2 linked regions of the Ovis aries genome follow. The protein of the gene in region 2 purifies or fractionates together with the protein of the main gene of each other region. This does not show direct contact. Links are inferred from orthologs where the notes say so. Each region holds a gene or a part of one and is shown on either strand. Other genes may lie near its edges.

Region 1 (7,977 bases), on a different chromosome or scaffold from region 2:
CGAGACGCTATCTCAGGCTATTCAATATTCTTATCAGACCAGAATGGAAAGTCAGAAGAGTGGAGACTTGATTATTTTTTCATTACCTAACTTCATATTTCACCAAGAGTACTCAAGAAATATCAACAAACAAAATAATCCACTGATATCTACTAACCCGTAACAAACAGGAAGCACCATCCACTGCACAGTGATAAAGCCTGTCTTCACCATATCCAAAAGTGACACAATACTACAGAGGACTAACAGCCCACCGCATGGCACCCATGGGAAGAACTTGTGAACGGAAAGGGGTTCGCTTCATGCAGCCCACAGAGGAGGAATTACCATTACCATTTGACCTAACACTGTCCAAAGAACAGGGATGTCAGAAGGGAGTGACATAAGCACTGCAGTCAAGCTGGCCTCCAGCCTTGTCAGACTCAACAATTTGCAGATCTCTCAAAAATAAAGTGCTCCTGTGCCTTTACACATTTTACCCCTCAGTCCGGAATGCTCTCTTAGCGTATTTTTATTGGCCCTTCATGGCCCAGTCTGAGAATGACCTTCTCTGAGAGGCACCTAGCACAGAGTAGGTTTCGATGAACATGTGCTGAATGAACGCGGTTTCCCTGGCCACTTCAGGGAGTGTTGGCCGCTTTCTTCTCAATAGTATGCTATAATCAGTCACTGTAAAGAATCTATCAACTTGTACTTTAAGTATTTATACCATTCACTCTTAAAGCATGACCCAGTTTGGGAAGGGAGGGTGTCTCTGAGACCTTTTCAGAGTTCTGACTCCGAAACTAATGTTAGTTATCCTTTTCACTCTAATTCTCTCACAAGTGTACAATGGAGTTTTCTAGAGGCTACTTGATATACGATATCTGTTATCACTCTGAAAGCTAATATAACGTTTGCGTACCATGTTTTTACTTTACTTTACTTTCTCATATAGTAAACATTGATAACCATAATCCACATAAGCCAAAGCTCTTTGGAGCCCTCATTCATTTTTAAGAGGGTAAAGGGATCCTAAGACCAGAATGTGTGAGACCTGCTGTCCTGTTTCTTTCTTACTAGGCAATGTATTCCCAGCACCTTCCTCAACCAATGTTTCCTGAATTAACTAAAGAAATACGCTCTCTTCAGGGGCAGGGGAGCAGAAGTAGCACTCCCGAAGTCCCCACGGCATTATGAGAACTAGCTCAAGACTTCACAGCTCCCTGCGCTGCAATTCCTGCTCACAAGCAACCTTCTGTTGAGTATGTCAGTTTCCTGGACACACTGACAGTGGGAATACCAACCCCAGTATAGCAGACAGAAGCAATCCAATCATCTGCAAGGAAGAACCAGACACCAGCTCAGACCCACCAAATTCAACTGATACTTCGGTTTATAAACCAATGTCTTGTGCTTATGAGTGGCTAATGCCCAGAATATTTAATAAACTATATTCGACAAAAATCAAGTATTAGGCTAAAATCAAGACCCAGCAAAGCAACCTTTGAACTGTAGCGACTCCACTAAGAAAACACCTCTTTGAGGGGCCCTGCTAAGGGCCTAGCTAGCCTTCCTCTATGATATTCTTATCATCATTTATTCAACAAAAATGCACTGAATGCCTTTAATGTACCAGGCACTGTGTTAGGTGGTGGCGAACAAATTGCAATCAAGCTCTAAATCCAATCTGCCTAAAACACTGCACATATGTAGGAAAACTGGGAAAGGTAAATCAAGGCCAGGTCATACACAGTCTTGATTAATAAGGTGCAACATAATGGAAACCAAACAACATTTTCTTGCCCCTCTTCCACAGTTAAGGCTAAGGCAATTCTGTGTGGTCTTCAGCTTCATCTTATTCTTGCCTCTTTGCCTAGCTGAGCCCCCAAATGAAGGAAGAAACAATAGCCAGGCTGTTATTAATACTGCCTCTTCCACAGTGCCACACTCTTGCAACCAGACTCCCTTTTACCTACCCCCACAATGGGGATGCTAACTGATCTCCTCACCTCTCCCTACCCTTTTTATTCTTTCCTCCACACTCCTGGATCCATATCCCTCTTCCTGGGGTCATTTTTCCTTCCCATCATCCACTCTCTCTCTTCTACTATCCCAAGTGTTTACCCCGTGTTCTTTCAAAAAGCTAGACCTACAAAGCTGGACTTAGATTTCTGTCTAAACCCCCCAAGCAATGCTAGGTAAGCGCCACTGCTTACAGAGGAGAAACTGAAGTCCATGCAAGGAAGAATTAAAGAGAAACTGCCTTCAACTTAGCAAACGACAGGCCCTCTCAGGCCTAATTTCCTGAGTGTGGCAGGAGGGCAATACCCAACAGTAAGGGATCAAAGGAGTCCAAGCATCCTGTCAAGTGGGGCTTACACCTCCTTGCGCCTGTCTGACTGCTCTTCATATGGCCCTGCTCTCTGACTGACTGGCTCCATCTCATTTCCTCAGGTCTTGGCTTAAAGTCACCTTTTTTTGGGGGCGGGGGGCGACTGGCTCCATCTCATCCCCTCAGGTCTTGGCTTAAAGTCACCTTTTTTTTTGGGGGGGGGGGTCCGGCTCCATCTCATCCCCTCAGGTCTTGGCTTAAAGTCACCTTTTTTTGGGGGGGGGGCGGGACTGGCTCCATCTCATCCCCTCAGGTCTTGGCTTAAAGTCACCTTTTTTGGGGGGCGGGGGGCGACTGGCTCCATCTCATTCCCTCAGGTCTTGGCTTAAAGTCACCTTTTTTTGGGGGGGGGCGGGGCCGGCTCCATCTCATTCCCTCAGGTCTTGGCTTAAAGTCACCTTTTTTAGGGGGGGGGCGACTGGCTCCATCTCATCCCCTCAGGTCTCGGCTTAAAGTCACCTTTTTTTTGCTGGGGGGGGGGGCGGCTCCATTTCATTCCCTCAGGTCTTGGCTTAAAGTCACCTTTTTGGGGGGGGGGGCGGCCCGCTCCATCTCATCCCCTCAGGTCTTGGCTTAAAGTCACCTTTTTTGGGGGGGGGCGGGACTGGCTCCATCTCATTCCCTCAGGTCTTGGCTTAAAGTCACCTTTTTTGGGGGGGGCGGGACTGGCTCCATCTCATTCCCTCAGGTCTTGGCTTAAAGTCACCTTTTTTTGGGGGGGGGCGACTGGCTCCATCTCATCCCCTCAGGTCTTGGCTTAAAGTCACCTTTTTTGGGGGGGGGCGACTGGCTCCATCTCATTCCCTCAGGTCTTGGCTTAAAGTCACCTTTTTTTAGGGGGGGGACGGCTCCATCTCATCCCCTCAGGTCTCGGCTTAAAGTCACCTTTTTTTTGCTGGGGGGGGGGCGGCTCCATTTCATTCCCTCAGGTCTTGGCTTAAAGTCACCTTTTTGGGGGGAGGCCGGCTCCATCTCATCCCCTCAGGTCTTGGCTTAAAGTCACCTTTTTTTGGGGGGGGGGCGGCTCCATCTCATCCCCTCAGGTCTTGGCTTAAAGTCACCTTTTTTGGGGGGGGGGGGGCGACTGGCTCCATCTCATTCCCTCAGGTCTTGGCTTAAAGTCACTTTTTTGGGGGGGGCGGGACTGGCTCCATCTCATCCCCTCAGGTCTTGGCTTAAAGTCACCTTTTTTGGGGGGGGGCGGGACTGGCTCCATCTCATCCCCTCAGGTCTTGGCTTAAAGTCACCTTTTTTGGGGGGGGGCGACTGGCTCCATCTCATCCCCTCAGGTCTTGGCTTAAAGTCACCTTTTTTGGGGGGGGGCGACTGGCTCCATCTCATTCCCTCAGGTCTTGGCTTAAAGTCACCTTTTTTTTGGGGGGGGCGGCTCCATCTCATCCCCTCAGGTCTCGGCTTAAAGTCACCTTTTTTTTGCTGGGGGGGGGCGGCTCCATTTCATTCCCTCAGGTCTTGGCTTAAAGTCACCTTTTTGGGGGGAGGCCGGCTCCATCTCATCCCCTCAGGTCTTGGCTTAAAGTCACCTTTTTGGGGGGGGGGGGCGGCCGGCTCCATCTCATCCCCTCAGGTCTTGGCTTAAAGTCACCTTTTTGGGGGGCGGGGGGCGACTGGCTCCATCTCATTCCCTCAGGTCTTGGCTTAAAGTCACTTTTTTGGGGGGGGCGGGACTGGCTCCATCTCATCCCCTCAGGTCTTGGCTTAAAGTCACCTTTTTTTGGGGGGGGGCGGGACTGGCTCCATCTCATCCCCTCAGGTCTTGGCTTAAAGTCACCTTTTTTGGGGGGGGGCGACTGGCTCCATCTCATCCCCTCAGGTCTTGGCTTAAAGTCACCTTTTTGGGGGGGGGGCGACTGGCTCCATCTCATCCCCTCAGGTCTTGGCTTAAAGTCACCTTTTTTTTGGGGGGGGCGGCTCCATCTCATCCCCTCAGGTCTCGGCTTAAAGTCACCTTTTTTTTGCTGGGGGGGGGCGGCTCCATTTCATTCCCTCAGGTCTTGGCTTAAAGTCACCTTTTTGGGGGGAGGCCGGCTCCATCTCATCCCCTCAGGTCTTGGCTTAAAGTCACCTTTTTTGGGGGGGGGCGGGACTGGCTCCATCTCATCCCCTCAGGTCTTGGCTTAAAGTCACCTTTTTTTGGGGGGGGCCCGACTGGCCCCGTCTCATCCCCTCAGGTCTCGGCTTGAGAGTCACCCTATTTTTGCCCGGGGAGGAGGTGCTTCCGGGGCACCGATCTCGGGGAGACCTTCTGTCGGGACCCCCGACAGTTCGCCAGCACGAGGGCCACGGGGGAGGCCGCGCGCGTCTCGAGGGGGGGCGCCGGCGGCTCGCGGCCCCGCGCTCCGCCGGCGCAGGGAGACGGCCGCCAAGCCCCGGCGCGAACCGCGGCGCCGCCCGCCCCCGCGCTCCCGGGCGCGCCTCACCCGTCCCCCGGCACCTCCCGCAGCTTCAGCCCCAGGGCCTGCAGCTGGTTGGCGAAGCTGACGAACTCCTCCTCGCAGCCCCCGCCGCCGCCGGACTCCGGCCGGTTCCGCCGCTCCCTGGCCAGGGCCCGGCGCGCCGCCCGCTCGTCCCGCTTGCGCTCGGCCTCGGCTTTGCGGCTGCCGCTGCCCGGCCGGCCCTTGGCGGCCTGCTTCCGGGACATGGCCTCGGCCCCCGCGGCCCGCAGCCGCAGGAGGAAGAGCCGCAGGACCGCCCGGGCGGCCGCCTCAGGGGCCGAAGGAGGCGAAGCGGCGCGGGCTACGGAGCCCGGCGACGGCGACGCGACCACCGCGCCTGCGCCGGCCTGAGGGCGGGCGGCGGGGGGGCGGGGGGAGGGGCGCCTCGGTCACGTGGCGGGACCCCGCCCCCCTCGGCCTGGCCGGGCTGACGAGCGCCACAGAGAGCTCGTCGGGGAGAGCTAGAGGGGCAGCCGTGTCGTTTGCGCCGCTCCTCCCCCTAGCGGTGAGCGGTCCTGCCAACTGCGGCGCCGCTAGGACCGGAGGGAACAGAACAGGGAAAGATTCCAAAGCCGCTGAGGAGTTGCTCAGCCGTGTCCTACTCTTCGCGACTTCATGGACTGTAGTCTACCCGGCTCCTCCGTCCGTGGGATTCTCCAGGCAAGAGTACTGGAGTGGGTTGCCATTCCTTTCTCCAGGGGGATCTTCCCAACCCAGAGAGGGAACCTGGTTCTCCCACATTGCAGGCTGATTCTTTACTATCTTAAAGCTGAATGCCGAAAAATTGATGCTTTTGAGCTGTGGTGTTGGAGAAGACTCTTGAGAGTCCCGTGGACTGCAAGGAGATCCAACCAGTCCATCCTAAAGGAGATCAGTCCTGGGTGTTCATTGAAAGGGCTGATGTTGAAGCTGAACTCCAATACTTTGGCCACCTGATGGGAAAAACTGACTCATTTGAAAAGACGCTGATGCTGGGAAAGATCGAAGGAGGGAGGAGAAGGGGACTACAGAGGATGAGATGGTTGGATGGCATCACCGACTCAATGGACATGAGTTTGCCTAAACTCTGGGATTTGGTGATGGACAAGGAGGCCTGGCGTGCTGCAGTCCATGGGGTCCCAAAGAGTTGGACACGACTGAGCGACTGAACTCTTTGCTATCTGAGCCACCAGGGAAGCCTGATGGCTCAGCCCACACCCTTTATTTAATCCTGCCCTTCTCTCCTTCTCTGCCTTCTCTCATAACTCAGAGAGAAGTAGCCCTTGTCCAGAACCACTAGCTCCTCTAATAATCTGGATTCCACCCTAACACCACCAACCTAGGTTTGCCTGAACCAAGGGTTTTCATTGGACACAGGACTTTCGATTTTAAAACGGGGACAGCACCAGGCAAACCAAAGTAGCTGGGTAATCCTAATCCACATCTGCTGCTGCTGCTGCTGCTGCTGCTGCTGCTGCTGCTGCTGCTGCTGCTGCTGCTAAGTCGCTTCAGTCGTGTCCGACTCTGTGCAACCCCATAGACAGCAGCCCACCAGGCTCCCCCATCCCTGGGATTCTCCAGGCAAGAACACTGGAGTGGGTTGCCATTTCCTTCTCCAATGCATGAAAGTGAAAAGTGAAAGTGAAGTCACTCAGTCATGTCCAACTCTTAGTGACACCATAGACTACAGCCTACCAGGCTCCTCCATCCATGGGATTTTCCAAGCTCCCCTAAAAGCTAATTCCATCAGTAATCACCTCTCCCCTGCAGAACCTCTCTTCTGCCTCATTCTGGGCCCTCTTTCTTAACACTCTCTCCCCCCTGCAGAACCCCTCTTCTGCCTCGTTCCGGGCTCTCTTTCTTAACGCTGTCTCTTCCCACAGGTGTTGCCATGGTGTTGCCTACCTCTTGACCCTCCAAACAGCCTCTTTCACCATTTCTGGAAATGTTCCTAAAGTTTCTGGCCTTAATCATTTTATTTTCGCACTCTGCCTACAAGTTCCCCTTTGGGAATAGCCTCCGTTTCCTCAGTTTCAACTAGCGTATTTATCTTCAGCTCTTGTGTTAGATGCAGGTATAGCAATGAATCAAAGAGGCGCGGCTGTTGTCCTCAAGGAGCCCAGATTCCAGTGAGATATATAGGCAAGGATACAGCAGTTTCCATGCTGCATGACATATGTTATCAAGAGTGCAAAAAGTGGAGTGAAAAATGCAAAAAGTTTTCCCAGAAGAGCTGCGTTCTGGGCTGAAGCTCAGAGGATCAGTAGGACTTGGCCAGACTAAGACGGTTAAAAGAGAGAGGATTGTGTGTCCAACACCAGAGCTCTATTTTGAGGAACTGAGGGAAGTTCAGTTTGACCAAGGAGCCCAGAACTTGAGTTATGAGATAGGAAATGAAAGGAAGGGTCCGTTCTGAGCCCAGTCTTGCAGGCTAGAGGAAAGGGTTTAGTCCAAGACCTTAGAGCCGTGGGGAGACGCTGAAGCATCTTCATCCAGAACTGACATGAGTGGGCTTACCTTTAAAATACATCTTTGGCTTTAGTTAGGAGAATGTGTTGAAGGTAGGATGCCAGGCAGAAAGTTCCTGTGGCTGCGCAAAGACAGGTGGTGGTGATGCGATGCTGAGCCTGGGATGGAGAGAAAGAGGAGTGGTAGCCTGGGAAGACGGATTCACGTGCTGGGAAAAGCTCGTGAAACAGAGTGGGACTGAACTGTTGCGGAATGTTTCACATGCTTCTCTGAAGTTCCTGAAATTGCTCCTCTACGGATCCCCCTTTCATTCTCAGAGAGAACGTGAATTATGCCTGGCCCTGTCTTTAATTGCAACAGACATTCCAAGGCCTGCAGCAACCCCTCTGCTTACATTTAGTTAAGTTGGGAGGCAGTGCTAGGAGTTGGAAACCCCTGGACAGGATGGTAGAGACCCAGATTGTGGTCCAAGTCTATCACTGACTCACTCCATGATCGTGGGTGAGTTGCTTAACATTTTCCTCACCTATAAAATGGGAGTAACAGTGAAGACCACATACAATCATAATGATAGTAATGATAAACTTTTATAGTGTTTACCATATATAAGGCATTATTCTATTGCTTTCCAAATAGTACCTTATTTAATCATTACAACAACCCAGTGAAATGTGGGGGGGGTTTTTTGAAACTGGACTTTTT
Region 2 (7,354 bases):
AAGTTTATTTTCCTGGGAAGATGGTAAGAACCTTAAGAAACTTATCTCTTAAATGTTTTTGTATCTTTTAACAGCACCTAGCACAGCAATAATGTGGTAGAAATCTGTTAAAACTGTTTTATTAATTTCAATTATTTTAGAAAAGTTACTGAGTTAGTAACTACACACATACTTAAGAGTCCGAAGAAAATAAACTAGCAAAATTTAAAACTTCAAAAACTGTGGATTGTGCTAATGCACTAATTATAGAAAAACTGCTTTGTTTAAAACAAACCAAACTCTTGCAACATGCAAGGAAAATCACATAAAATGAAAATAAATAAGGTAATTCAAGATAACAAAGTATTATAAATATTTAACTTAACCTTCAATTTTACATGTGTTAATGTAAATTGGAAGAATAAGAATTAGTGCAGTCCTAGAAGTATAGAAAAAGTGATACAGGTGTTTATTTTTAAAAGCAAAATATAAAATTTTTATGTGTGCTAGTCTTATGATGAATAAAAGAAAAAATTTACCTTAACTGCAAAACAATTATTAATACCTCTTGGATTATTGAAAAATATATTTTCAAAGTTATGGAGATATACTTAACTTTTATTTATATAGTACACATAGGAAATGGGTTTCTGGTGAAAAAAAATCAGTTTTACATCTTGTGATTTTCCAGCTACTTGGATTCTGGATAAAAAAAATATATTTCTTCTGATAAGCAAAATAGAAGTCAAAATTCTTGCAGTTAATGAAGCCTCCTCATTTTCTCTCAACAACAACAACAAAAAGCTAAAATTCAGGAAAATGAAATCAGTCTGACTATGGAGACTGTCTAAAAATTAGTGATACACTACTACCTGGTATGTTTAGGAGGCAGTAACAATACACACAGCTACTGTTTCTGCTCATTACTACCTAAATATTTTGTACCTTAGGCTCACCTTAAACGTTCACACTTAGTATTTTAAACCAAGACTGTTTGTTTTAAAATGAGCTCCTATATTCTCTAAACATAGCTCAGTGAGATGCAAACCTCACTAACTTTCTAAACGTGTATATTTAAATACCACATTTTTTCATTCTTTATTACTTCCTCTTCATATTTATTCCTCGCCTAGCTGAAAATTGAAATAAATTTACTTCCTCAGTAAATCTGAGGAAGCTAAATATAAAATGACCCAGTCTCAACAAGCATTAACCAAAATGGGGGAAACAGATTTTATTTATACAAACAGACCAAAATGTTTTTTCAAACTCGTGCCCCATGCTTACTTCTCAGTTTAATCAATCGTCTCTTCTAACAGGACTGTAGCCGATTGAATGGGGTACATATGCAATCTTCAATACTTTTATAGAGTTTATTTGCATAAGCCAAGTTAAGAAAAATTCATCTCAAATTACAAAGTCAGATGGCCTTTTCCTTCTGCTAGGGCTATGTACCACTATAACGGCTGACTGATGCCATAGTAAGCAAAGCATGTGCAGATTTAGTAGAAAACTATTCATGATTTATTAGATGTCAGACAGAAAACACATCTTTTAGTCTCTCCTTTCAGAATGATTTCTGCCCAACTAAATGCTTTAAGCAAAAGATCTGAGGTTACTATTCAAGGTATGGCTATTTTGGATATTTTTCCCAACAAAAGTAAAGAGCAAACCTTTTTTAGCATCTTGTTCTGTTTGTGGAAGAACTCTACTTTGATGTCACCACACACAGGCAGCGGCTGAGGGAACTCAAAGTACATGAACTTGTCTTCCCGTCGTGTGGGTCCTGAATTGGAGGAATATATCTTCACCTTTAGCTGGCAGACCACAAACTGAGGATCTGCATGGTCAAATACATACTAGTATCACTTCACAGGAAATGTTTTTAACTGTCAAAAGCTATTTTGATGATTAGTATTAGCAGCAGACACAAAGTAGTAATTTTGCATCTTTAATGCCCCAACTAAAACAAATCAATGGTTACAAAATAACAGAGATACATAGATAGAAATAAATCAGTGGAAATAAACTACAGCAAAATATAATCAATACCAGATTTTCCCTAATTTGTACCATCAATATGAGGTAATATTAAAAGGAACTTTTAAAACAGGTATTTGCTGCAGTATTTTAAAGTCTGTAAAACAGAATAAAAACCACAAAATACCAATCCTTACACATTCAGAAGAAAATATAACCTATAACAAAGTTATAGTACATTCCATAAACACAAGTTTCAATAATTATAAAAATATTAACCATATTTCATTTTACCTATAATTCATATTTTATTTTTAAAGGTATATAAAGCCACCACCACAAGAAACAGGAGGAAAGAGATTTGAAGCGTTTGCAAAGAAATGCAACAGACATCAAGTACAAATTATAGCACAATCTCCCTCTCTTTGAAACACATTCCATTTTCATTAACAAGTATTTTGACTTTGGTCCATGTCTGTTTTAAAATATATGGTAAAAAATAATAATAATAATAAAAATAAAATAAGCTCAAAATATATCATGTTTATATTAGCAATGCAATTAAAAGGCAGCTAAGTGTGAAAAGAAAGGCTTATGTGTTTTATTTTTTAAATCGACTCATAAATACATTTATGCTAATGACACTGATGACAGAATTTGGCTTCCAGTCACGGACACTAAGATCCTAGCAGTTAAGAAAGAAAGTAATTAAACTGAGGGGGGAAGAAATGGGTTTTTAAATTTTCAAAACATACCAAGATAATTACGAAATAAAAACATAAGCTTGCATAAAGTGAATGAGAAATATATAAATATATAGACATAAAGTTCTCATCACCAAAAGACATCATTCTTAAATATGGGGGGAAAAATGTATCACATTCTTTATCAATGTGACCGAAGCTCTGGACAAGGCAAAAAGCTTATTCAAGCTAAATAAATATTCCAGTACAATAAACACCTACTGGCTCATCTATACAATATTTAATGCAGTATCATCAATCACATAATAAATAAATAGTAAGCGATAAAAAGTATGAGTGTTTACTGCAATATGGATTTGAGAGACACTGATGAGAAAAAGGAACTCTAAAAAGAGAAATGTTACACTAACAACCTATCAATAATCTTCACTTCCTTGACTAAAGATTCAAAGTACAATGCGCTATTTTACAAGACTTAATTTGATACTGAAAATTTCACTGAGAAGTCCAGCTTGAAGAAGCGAACAAAGTATGATTTTAAAACTGTGATAAAAACCAAACAGGATGAAAATGCCTTGTAATCATATTCATTCAAACTCCACTAATTCAGAATCTGATCATCTTAATCTTAGGAGTTTAAAAAGCAAACTCACTGTGAAATCTGAATTAACAGATCTTAATTAACCTACGTCTAAAATGTGCACCTTCAAGAATTTCCGAGCTGTATAAATATTCTCATTAGAAGTTAGTGTTACTTAGACATTTCCTCAAAAAACTAGGCTCAAGTTTTAGTAAGCGAAAAACATTCCCTCACATCCCTAAAGAAGACAATTTTCTTTACAGTATGAATTTCACATTTTAGATAGGTAAGACCACACTTAACAGAAGTCCAACATCAGTATGGTTCTTTTGACTAAGACACGACTGATATATATATATGTCTTTGATAGGACAAACGGTGCTCTAATAAAACAGAAATGAAATAAAACTTAGAATTTTATATTATGAGAGAAAAATCAGTGATCATCTTTTATTAACTTTTTTAACCCTTTTAGATATATAGAAGATAGTAACTTTTTTTAAATTCAGAAATATTAAGACAATAATCAAAAAAGAAAAAGGTTGTTAACTCCTGGCAACTTTGCAGAAGATACTTTATTTCCACGTTTTGTTTTCTTCACTGATTCCTCTTCCTCCTCCTAAACCGAAACCATTATGGATCCTGTTTGTCTCAGCCCTCACACCGTTTCTGTCTGAGCCTTCCCACATTCTCAGCTCAGTTCAGTTGCTCAGTCGTGTCCGACTCTTTGCGACCCCATGAATCGCAGCACGCCAGGCCTCCCTGTCCATCACCAACTCCCGGAGTTCACTCAGACTCACATCCATCAAGTCAGTGATGCCATCCAGCCATCTCATCCTCTGTTGTCCCCTTCTCCTCCTGTCCCCCAGTCCCTCCCAGCATCAGAGTCTTTTCCAATGAGTCAACTCTTCACATGAGGTGGCCAAAGTACTGGAGTTCCAGCTTTTAGCATCAGTCCTTCCAAAGAACACCCAGGACTGATTCCATATTCTAGCCCTATATCAAATTTATATGAAAGGTTTAACTACCATGTCTCGTTCCTGATGCTTCCAACAGTATGACATATCTTTCATATAAGTTCAAATCCATACTTTCAAGTACCAATTGAATATGTTCATGTAAACAGCTCACCTTTACCTGATTTAAAACATATGTTTAAAACCAAAATATCAACATTCATGTCTCCAAGTCTCAGATTCCTTTTTCTTTCTTCCCTTTTCTGTGACTTATTCACCTGACCAGAGTAAAATATTTAGATATAAATGGCAAAAGAAAAACTAATCATTTGACTGCCCCAGCAAAGCATACCTGGCTTAAAGAAAGTCATGTAATTCAACTGTTTAATTTTCCACTGTTTTTCCTTCCCTCATGCAGTCACTACTTTCTACAAAACTGTACCTAACTACAGCTTACGCCTCTGCTACGATCACTGACAACACAGCATGTATCAAATCAAGTCCAACATGCCTGTTCGGAGTCTTCTAACAATCAGCCACACATTGTATTCCTATTCTGTTCTCCATCTCTATATTCTTGTCCAGCTCATTTCCTTCTGCTGTGCTTCAATTCAAGCTATTTCCTACTGCCTGTAATTTTCTTTAGTTTAAAGGCCAATCTAAATTGCATGCTTTCTCCAATGTTCAATAAAGAGCTGGACTTCCTTCACAAAAGTATTTGACAACTCCCCCCAACTTGATTTTTCTGAATATACTATTTGTAATTTACACGTATAACCACACATTTAGTTATATATTACAGCTTTACTAGACAGTATTGAATCATAGTATGTAAACAAAGAACTAGAAAATTGGTAAAGATTAAACAGATCTCAGTAGTAACTTGCAAAGTTTAAATATAATACTAAGAGGTCCAATATACACAGACACACACAACACACATGGTTTAAAGGGAGAGCACAACTGCAGAGAAGAACTGACAGACGTTTGCTAGAGAGACCAATATGGAAAAATAAAGTAGAGTAGATAAAATTACTGAACTAAATGTGTATTTCTGTAATATTTTGTACCTTGCCATTTGGCTCTTACACTGATATCTAACACTACAGGAAGAACATGAGTTTTTTTGCGTTTTTTTTTTTTCCCCTTTCCCTTCTCTGCTATAAATCTAAGTTCGTATGTCAATCACCTCTTGACAGCATAGTACCTTGTACTCAGCAGTTTTTAAAATTGTACTGAGATGACAAAAACATCAATGAGGTCTCTTTGAAGTCTTCCACGTGCTATGTTAAGGTCTTTGATAAATAAAATTAACTTGCCCTAAGAATACAGGAAAGATCTAATGAAGGTGATCACACCTGACAACATAAACAACATAAAGAAATTAACTCCCTAGGTATAAATTAATTCAGCATCACAAGGCTTTTAAGTTACATAAATACTGTAAGAAGAAAACTTTAGGCTAAAAAATAAAACCACCAACAAATTGCAAAGTATCAATGAAATACTGTTAGAGGTATTAGAAAAATAACACAGTTACATCTTACCTAGAAACTATAAAACTGTATTCTAAATAAACAAAACACAGTTCTTAAACATGAAATGCAACAGGAAATGGCAACCCACTCCAGTATTCTTGCCAGGAAAATCCCATAGACAGAGGAGCCTGGCGGGCTACAGTCCATGGCGTCACAAAGAGTCAGAAAGAACTGAGCACACACAGACACAAACATGAAAATACGACTAATCACTTCCAAGACAGAAACTAATACAAAAGACTCTGTAACAGAAAAAAGCAGCACAGTCTGTTCTTTTCCAGGGCTGTATTAACACTTCCACATGTTCTCTCGTGACCGCCTGCTCAGGGTCAAGGTTTTAAGGTTCCTATCAGTCTAGCTTAAGAACTCTGGCAAAGAATAGGAGAGAAGCAGAAAAGGACCAGGAGACCTGAGGTAGGCTTACAGAAGTCAGGATGAGAGAGAAAGGCAGACATCAATGACATGATCTTCTTTAAGCACTTTTCTAGGAAGTTTCAGATTTCAGAATATCCTCGTATTATTGATAAAGACAAAGAGGTGCGGTAGATGATGTGCCCTTGGTTACACAGCACATTAATGACAACTCTAGCACTGGAGGGAGACTCACGGGTCTCAGTCACTTAGTCATGTCCAACTCTGTGACCCCAGGGACTGACTGCAGCCTGACAGGCTCCTCTGTCTATGGGATTTGCTGGGCAAGAATACTGGAAAGACTTGCCATTTCCTCCTCCAAAGCAATCACGCTCGAGGGCACCCATGGATCAAATCCACGTCTCCTGTACTGGTAGGTGATTCTTTACTACTGAGCCATTTGGGAAGCCTCTTTAGCACTGGAACTCAGATCTAAAGCTAGGCTTTCTCTAATATTCCACACTCAATCAATATGCTTCAGCATGTTGCTATGTCTTATAACAGTTTTCTTTTTAACATCCTTATCACCATTTCTATTAACATCTGGTCTTCCTAAGATACTGAGGAATTGGTTCCTACCCTAACACCACTGAAGTGCTGAATCTCAATGCTACTCATACTGAATCACTGACAGGACAAGCTTTAAGTCACCAAGTCAGAATATAGGCTGCATTTGGTGGTTGTGGCATGGACTACTTCTTTCATAAATATAATATGGCTTCAAAGTCTTTCAGACCCAATGGTCTGGGCTTCCTTAGGCCAATGTGTGCTGAACAGCTGAGTTAAGTAATCAGTTTTGACACCTCAGAAATATACAAACTTGCATAAAGTTTAAGTGTGATAAATTTCTTTATAGACTTTTCATAAACTTCTACATATGTTAAGAAAAGTGTTACAGTAAATGAGAGGATGAGGATCTGGAGCACTTACTGCAAGTTCCACCACTGAACATGGGAATAGTTTCAAACATCATCTTGTGAAACAACAGTGCCACTGGTCTGTAATCCAGATGATTCTTTAACAGGTAGCTATAATAATACACATAGCGCCTCTGACTGGGAATAGTTACTCCCTGGTGAACAGACAAAAAAAGACAGAAAGGCAAAGTCAGAAGAAAAGTTTCATTGTGTCTGCTGAAGTACATATATACATTAAAAATTTGACCTTAAATGATCTAACATTTAAACCTAGCTTGGTAATAGAGTA

Evidence for each region.
Region 1: the proteins of PTEN (region 2) and OTUD3 purify together in Homo sapiens (affinity purification with western blotting; 3 studies listed by BioGRID and IntAct, with this or other methods). This does not show direct contact. The link is inferred for Ovis aries from reciprocal best matches to the Homo sapiens genes PTEN and OTUD3.

What each region holds. Positions count from the first base shown.
Region 1 is NC_056055.1:246,524,846-246,532,822, forward strand, and holds the start of OTUD3 (OTU domain-containing protein 3), read right to left. Parts: upstream 5,177-7,977; 5' UTR 5,034-5,176; coding exon 4,813-5,033; intron 4,799-4,812; exon of another isoform or gene 4,520-4,798; intron 1-4,519.
Region 2 is NC_056075.1:9,326,603-9,333,956, reverse strand, and holds part of PTEN (phosphatidylinositol 3,4,5-trisphosphate 3-phosphatase and dual-specificity protein phosphatase PTEN), read right to left. Parts: intron 7,221-7,354; coding exon 7,079-7,220; intron 1,820-7,078; coding exon 1,653-1,819; intron 1-1,652. UniProt on the Homo sapiens protein: Dual-specificity protein phosphatase, dephosphorylating tyrosine-, serine- and threonine-phosphorylated proteins.